Linked DNA regions of Arabidopsis thaliana. The protein of the gene in region 2 interacts with the protein of the main gene of each other region in a pairwise test. Each region holds a gene or a part of one and is shown on either strand. Other genes may lie near its edges. The genes, in order: AT2G25010 and YUC2.

What was found.
Region 1: the proteins of YUC2 (region 2) and AT2G25010 interact in binary tests that used the Arabidopsis thaliana proteins (3 or more experiments, as listed by UniProt).

The regions. Positions count from the first base shown.
Region 1 is NC_003071.7:10,629,392-10,633,318, reverse strand, and holds the start of AT2G25010 (Aminotransferase-like, plant mobile domain family protein), read right to left. Parts: upstream 1,789-3,927; 5' UTR 1,629-1,788; coding exon 1,545-1,628; intron 1,469-1,544; coding exon 812-1,468; intron 723-811; coding exon 573-722; intron 499-572; coding exon 112-498; intron 24-111; coding exon 1-23. Other genes in the region: WRKY60 (WRKY DNA-binding protein 60), read right to left, coding at 2,224-2,493, 2,581-2,697, 2,781-3,089, 3,294-3,356, 3,451-3,507. UniProt on the Arabidopsis thaliana protein: Acts as an important factor for cell fate determination and maintenance throughout plant development. Required for the organization of the root apical meristem (RAM) and the shoot apical meristem (SAM).
Region 2 is NC_003075.7:7,721,989-7,725,915, forward strand, and holds the start of YUC2 (Flavin-binding monooxygenase family protein), read right to left. Parts: upstream 2,083-3,927; 5' UTR 1,629-2,082; coding exon 951-1,628; intron 654-950; coding exon 405-653; coding exon of another isoform or gene 396-404; exon of another isoform or gene 303-395; coding exon 180-302; intron 50-179; coding exon 1-49.

The DNA.
Region 1 (3,927 bases), on a different chromosome or scaffold from region 2:
TCAAATTCCCTCATACAAGCAATCTACACCAAACCAAAGTAAACTTATTTTGCCGGTTTCAAATATAAGATGTTTTAAAAACAGAAATGATAGAGATTAAACTTATTTTACCATATTCATGACTTGGGACTCGAGAAACGCTTCTCGGTATAGTTTGGTGATACTGATCCTAGCATACCATTCCATGTAAGCTCCATCATCCACCACATTGCCACCTCCAGGACTGTCCACGATGTGATCCCCACGTTCAGCCCATTCCTCACACGCTAGACTCATTGACGTGTCCAAGTCATCAAGCCGACGGTTCTTTCTGTCGCGGCGTTTTACTTTCAGAGGTATCGGCTGGCGTTTCCCAAACTGCCTCAGACACCTATCTGGAAAATGTAACTCTATTTTCTCAAAGCATACAAGAGTCGTTTTCGATCTTCCTAGAATCAGCTTGGCTTTAATGTGTGGTGGAATCAAGTTCTCAAATCTTTCATATGGACACCAAGTGATCTGCATTTTCACAACCATCAATTATTAACATTTAGAGCAATACAAAATTCATAAGGATGAACTGAAGGGTTTACCTTGCTAGGATCAAGATCGTCCAGTTCTCTGCGGTACTCAGATAGGTCGGTTTTGGATCTGCTTCCTTTACCTTTCCACAAAAGAGCAAGCGGGAAACACGCTTCGGATTTCTCGGGTCTACCGATATCCAGATGAAAATAACTCCAACACTATATACATGAGACAATCATATGTTACATTTCCTAAAGATATTGAAATCTCAACTGGACAGAAAACCAAAACTAACATAGAAGCCAACCTGTAGCAAAGTCAAACAACCGCAAATGTTGCTCTGAGATTTAAGCGACGCATTACCGAGCGCTCGGTAAAGACAAGCCAACGCAGCAGCTCCCCAAGCATATCTCCCAGCTTGATCAAAATCCTCAAACAAAGGCAAATACTTAACAGAGACTTTATCACCATCAGTAGTAGCAAAAATGGTACTACCAATAAGATACAAAAGATAAGCTCGAGTATGACATTTAACAACATCGAAAGAAGCATCTTCAGGACACTCAGAGAAAGTTCTTTTAAGCCAATTAAGCTTAACCCTAGAACAATTAACTTCTTTATTAGCAGCAGATGGTAACTTCCCTAAAAGTCTACCACACATATCCATAGCAACCTCATCACCAACTTTAGAACCAACAATGGGATCTCCATCAATCTCAAGTCCAAGTACTAAAGCAACTTCGTCTAAGGTTATAGTCATTTCTCCTAAAGGAAGATGAAAAGTATTGGTTTCTCTTCTCCATCGCTCAACAAGTGCAGAGATCAGTGAATTGTTTAAACTCATTGGACCGATTTTGCGAAAGTAACCGAAACCAGCTTTGTCCACGAGGTTAATTTGTTCATCAGTGAGTTTCCATTGATGTAGCAATGAAGTGTGTTCTTGACAACGAAGTAGACCTCGTTCCTAAGGTAAGTAAGGGGAAATAAGATTAACCCTAAATTCAAAATCTGAAATTTAGCAAGGGAATTAAGAAAAAAACCTGTCCTTCCCAAACAGCAGAAGAAACATGGAGGTCTTGCTCGTATAGGACAGATGGATCAACTGGTCCGACATCAATATCCATGTCGATAACTTACTCAAAATCAGCGAAAACTAAGATTACATAAACAAATTTTTGTCAAATTCTCAAAACACGAAACTTTTGATTCTTCAATTTGGGACTAAACACAGATGAAGAAGAAGAAGAAGTTGGGATTGGAAGCTAACCGTAACCTAATTTGGACTCGGTTCATAATTTTTCTTCTTGGCTTTTTATAGCTGTACCGGTTATTTTGGTTTGGTTCTCTTAAACCGACTCTGTTTTTCGTGGTTTTACTCTGTTTCCGGGTTTCTCTGTTTCTTTTATGTCTGTAATGGCATCACATTCTTCTCTAATGGAAGTTAATACAAACAACTGAACAAGATAACATTGGAAGATACATAAACTGTCGAAGCAGCGTCAATCTACCATACTTACACCGAGCTATAACAAAACTCTTTCAACATAAGATAAAATGGGGGTGACCCTTTTTGGATACTTAGATTTGATGTAATTATATACACACACATTAAAATTGACATCTATGCCTCCTAATCAAGATCAAACAAATCTTTACCTTTTTACTAGGAATGAGCAACAAAATAGAACAAAACAGAAATATACATGTTCTAGAGAACTTTCATGTTCTTGAATGCTCTATCAATCTCCCGGAAATAGCAGTCGCAAGAGCTGCAGTGAACTTAGGATCTTTGGTCAACGAAGAAGCCATTTGTTGCACCAAAACCTCTTGAATCGTCCCTCTCTCTTTCTTTTCCTCAACTGGTTCAAGCCCACCTTGAACTAGATCAAGTTTCACTGTCCTGGACACACTTGCATGTGGTCCGGTGTGGTTATGTGTCCCTTCGTAAGTGGCTACCAAGAAAGATGGATCTTCTGCACTTCGTTGCACCTAAACAAGCGCACACACAACTAGGGAATTTAATCAGACAGCAAGATGATATCGAAGAACTCTTTAACAAAGTTTAAACCAAAGTACCTTCTTCTTGACTAGACAAGACGGTGAAAACGAGCATCTGAAGTAAGCTCTAGGAGATGGATTATCTCTCGTAATCTTTTGCCCGTATTTCCTCCATTGATATCCATCTTTCACAGTCTACAAGTAACGTATATCCACAAAACATTCGTTAACAAATCAATACACTCAAAGAACGATACTTGTAGTAGAAATCTCCTTACCAAGCTTGTGTCAGACTTCTCAGCAGCAAAGTAAGCGGTTGAAACCGTCGCTTTATCGTTGGTGATGTTCTCGATTGGTCCGAGACTGAGTCCAATTGGGGAGCTAACAAACTCATCAAGTTCTTGTTTTCGTTTCCCCGTTAGCTGTTTGTTCTGAAAGTTAACACTTTCAGGACTCTTTCGACTCTGCAACTCCTCCATAAGATTATTAAGAGCATAGTACTTCTCACAGACTCTTGCTAACATTTCGGTTAGCTTCTTGTTCTCCGAATTAACCCGGTTTATTTCATCTTGTAGCATATTTCTCTTCTGTGTAAAATGAAAATCACCATTACCAAACTAAGCTGTAAGACAAAGCTTTGATTTGTTCAACTTTTGAGCATCACCGATCTAAACAAACTATTCAATGTCTAAATCAGATATGAGAACTTGATCAACCTAATCCATTCACTCATAGTCAAAAATTTTGAGGTCAAAGTATTGCACACCAAAGTGTTCGATGAAAGAACTAACCTCATCTTTCACTAACCATTTCTTCTCTACAACTTTAGAAGCTGAAGCCGAGACTTCTCTTTTCTAAATCAGGCAATAAAATATATATGAACACCACGAATAATCACCACAACCTCGAAAATTGAAGTGAAATTTTCGAAGAAATTGAAAAACTCACCGGAAGTTTACCGGAGAAATGAAGGTCGAACGGATTGGTGTTGGGATCATAGTCCATAAATTTAGGTTCACAGGAGCCAATTTAATGTAACGTGAGATTATAGCGAAGACCAAATTCATAATTGCTAAGAGATTTGGTCTCCTTTGGTTTTATAGTAACTAGTAAGTGGAGAGAGTGTAATAACTTGTCAATTATGAGAAGGTTGACGATTTGGGTGGAAAATGAGGGTCTCCTTTCTAATTCTAAAAAAATTATTATAAATCTTTTACAATTCTTGTAAATTCTCATAAACTTTCTTTAAAACCTTTAAAAGTTTTTAAAACTCTTTGTAAAATCGTTTTAAAACTTTTATTAAATCTTTTAAAAACTTTTGTAAAATTTTTATAAAATCTTTTGTAAATCATTTTAAAAACATTTATAAAATCCTTGTGTGTAATTCTAATTGTGCCAAAATTATAATGTGTATTATGCATATGA
Region 2 (3,927 bases):
GAAATGGTTTATGCGGAAATCCATCTTTCTCAGAAAACATGTTCACTCCCTAAAAAAAAACAGTTCAAAGTCAAACCAAGTTAATTCAACTATTGAAACGTAAAATGGGTTGTGATGTGTCAATATCAAGGAATTAAGAATAATGAAGATGTAGACGCATCATCGCTCATGGTACACACCTTTAGCCACATGGGTACGTTGCTTTTGTAACCCGTGGCGAGTATAATGGCGTCGAAGTTATCTACTCTCCCATCAACAAACTCTGCCGAATAATGCATTACCCGTTTCAACTCCGGATACACCTAAAAGTCAAGAAAAAACAAAAAAAAACAAATCAATATACCATAAGCTCACGGTTTTGTAATCAAGATTGTATTAAAAATACTTAATTATAATTAATGAACCTTGATGTGTCCACTTCGGATTTTGGCAAGAGTGCCAACGTCCAAAACAGGAGTCTTTCCGCATTTGATCTTGCGTTCAAGAGGGCCAAGTTTTGGTCGAACTAACCCTAACCGATCCGTGTCACCAAGAACCAACCGAGACATACGTAACAAGAACCGGTCCACCACGTGCACTGGAAACCACTTGAGCAGGCTCGTGGATATCCCGAAAGTCGATATACCTAGCATTTCTTGAGGTAATACGTGTACCTATAGCATTAGACAAAAACTTTAATTAGCCAAAACTGTAATCATGGAATTGGAATATATAATCCATAAAATTACAAGAGATCTGAATCAATATAATCACATGCGTGGATTTTTTTGAAAGCGAAAGAAGAAAAGAGTAAACATTTGGTTACTTGATCACAAAGAGACCAATGATGTTAGTGTTAAACCTTTAAGAGTGACAAATTACGTAGAGCGAGAAAATGCAAGAACTATACTAATTAAACATCTATCATTGTTCTTGCATATATTAACGAGAAGAGTTTTGTTCATCCTCACCGAGTCACGAACCACAAGAGAAGGAAGAGCATTGAAGTTGCAAAGGTCTAAACAAACTTCCATCCCGGAGTTTCCACATCCTACAACCAAAATCTTCTTCTCACTAAATATTTCACCGCTCTTATAGGAGCTTGTGTGGAGGATAGGTCCACCAAAATCCGGGATTCCATCAATCTCCGGCATCACCTCCTCGGCATTCTCCCCGGTCGCCACAACAAGCCACCGTGATACATACTCCATTGTCTCATCCTTCTTCCCTCCGGTTGTCCTCACCCTCCATAACCCACACCGCCTATCGAACTTGGCTTCCTCCACGGTCTGGTTAAAAACGGGCTTTAGGTCAAAATGTTCGGCGTAAGACTCAAGGTATTGGACGAACTGTTGCTTTGTAGGGTAAGTAGGGTAGCTTGAAGGAAAAGGCATCAATGGAAGCTCACAGAAATCTTTAGGGAGATGAAGTCGAAGACGATCATATGTTTTGTGCTGCCATAGTGACGCTATGCAAGTGGAACGTTCTAGAATCAAACTAGGGATGTCTCTCGACTTTAAACATGCCGCTGTGGCCAGTCCCGACGGCCCGGAACCGACAATGATTGGTCCGGGAATCATTAAGCACCTAGTTTCCTCCACGTACGGATCATGGATTCTCTTGCCTAACGTTTCTGTAACAAACTCCATGAAAGAGAGAAAGAGAAGAAAAAAGAGAGAAATAGATCTAAAAATATGCAAGAAGTGAAGTAGGGGACTGATATCAGATTAGGTTTTTAAACCCGTGTGGTAAACAAAGATTATACTCTCTTTTGTGACTCGTGGATAATTATGTCCCGAGAATAGAGGTGAAAAGAGAGAATGAGTTTCATTGATCTTATCTACAAAAAGAACTAAGAAGAAAATAAACCAAATAGATAAGAAGAAAGATCGGATATTCCCTATAAACCAGGGTAAATCTAATGATGAAATATTATTTTTTCAAACTCAAAAGATTTTTGTAGTATTTGTTATAAGAAAATCTCTCAAGAATTGAGATTTGAAACAAAGATTTCGGATTTTGAAGAAGAGGTTTTGCGGTTCTGAAACAAATACTTGGGGAGAGAGAAGCAACTCTTTATAAGAGTTGGAAAAAAAAGATGAGATGGCGATGGACACATGACATAATTGGGGAGAGATACATGTCTCTATTTGTATATATACATATATATATATATAGGTGGATAGGTAGTGGGATGGGCATGTTATGTTTAATTCTATTTAATTACTATACTTTATATCGTAATTATGGCTATTGGGATTTGATAACGAACCATTAACTAAACGATTATACTTTTCTTTCCATTTTAGGTATAAAAATATCTCACCTATTTTTATATATTCTTTTTTTTTGCAGTATTATCAAAAGAGACCAAATTTAGCCAACCCGATTGATACAAAAAGTCCCATGTTAGAAAATATTTGAAAACAATGAACCCACTAAAGAATCCAACTTGAAGAAGAAAAAAAAATAGATTTCATAAAGTCCTCGGTGTATAGCTAGTTGAACTTTTGTCTTTTATACACCGAGGACTTTATGAAATGTATTTTAAAGATGTTATAGCTCCTGGCGGCCTTTTAAGATGTTCAACTAGTCATGAGCATTAGTGTGATATTCTCGGTATGATCCAAGAATTAGCTAATCAGTAAAATGATTACATGAAAATCATGCAGGGTCACGTTTTAGTTGGATAGTTGTGGAACATGCTATTTTGGAAATGGAAGTTAATTAGGACGGATCAAAGTAAGGTACAATGATCAAAAGAAACCAAGCTGAAAACGAATATCCTCAGAATCACCACAATGAGGAAACAACTACAACAAAGTATTGTGAGACATGATGGAGAACATGAAACTAAAAGTGTTTTCGTGTGCCCCCACAAAGTTTGGAGAATCTTTTGCCACTGATGGATTTTGCATTTCTCGAGTGTCGTCGTCTATAAAATCAAAGCTGCAATTAAGATGTTCTACAGCTCCTTCAAAGTTACATTTCCACTGGTGCGCATTTCAAGTTGTAACATCCAATTGTAAACTCCAAGAGTGGTCAATACTTTTGTTTCTCCTTTTATAGCCTTACTATCATTTATTTTTGGCTAATAAAGAGAAACCGGTAAAATTATAACTACTTTACCAAAATTCAACCATTTCAAGTTTATTTTTCCTTTTCGTTAAAGAAAAGTTGGTTTCTAGTTTGAAACTAAATATACCTTAGCTTAAGGCGAAAAGGACATTGTATATTAAAAACAAAATGACCTATGAACTTACATTTTAATGGATTTATGATTGGTCAAGGAATATATGTAAAACTATATTTGTGCCTTATGTTTCATTATATATATCATGAGTGATGATAGGACACATCATATGATATGAACTATAACCTATCATTGATCATATTGAAAAGAGAATATATATATGTTATCACTGTGCAGTCAACTTGGTGTACTATGATTACCATCTCTTACCACTCATATCTCACAATGAGTTACTGTTATAAATTCAACTTTTGCTTGTATCGCATGTCATGGTCACAGTGTATAACATTACGATACTATTCAAATCCTATGATAATCACTTCCCAAATATATATGCGTACGTTACATATGATTCTTTGCATCATTAGTTATATATTCTTTTGGCTTCTGTATTTTCCATTGGTGCAACTCTTACCTTGGTAGAAGCAAGAATAATACCAAAGACTATATTAATTGTATTTAATCGATTATTTATTATTTTACTAAGTTAATCATTTTTACATCATGCTTCTATAATAGTATAATACTACGATTAACCTTTTTTGTTCATTTTTGAATTTTGAGAAACTATATAGTATGTGTATTATACGTTGGCAAACTTTTGTTGCTTGCCCGTAACGTATACAAACTTTTGAAATCTATAGCCGCAAAGCACACGAACTTCATGATCTACACGGACTATAATTAATTATATA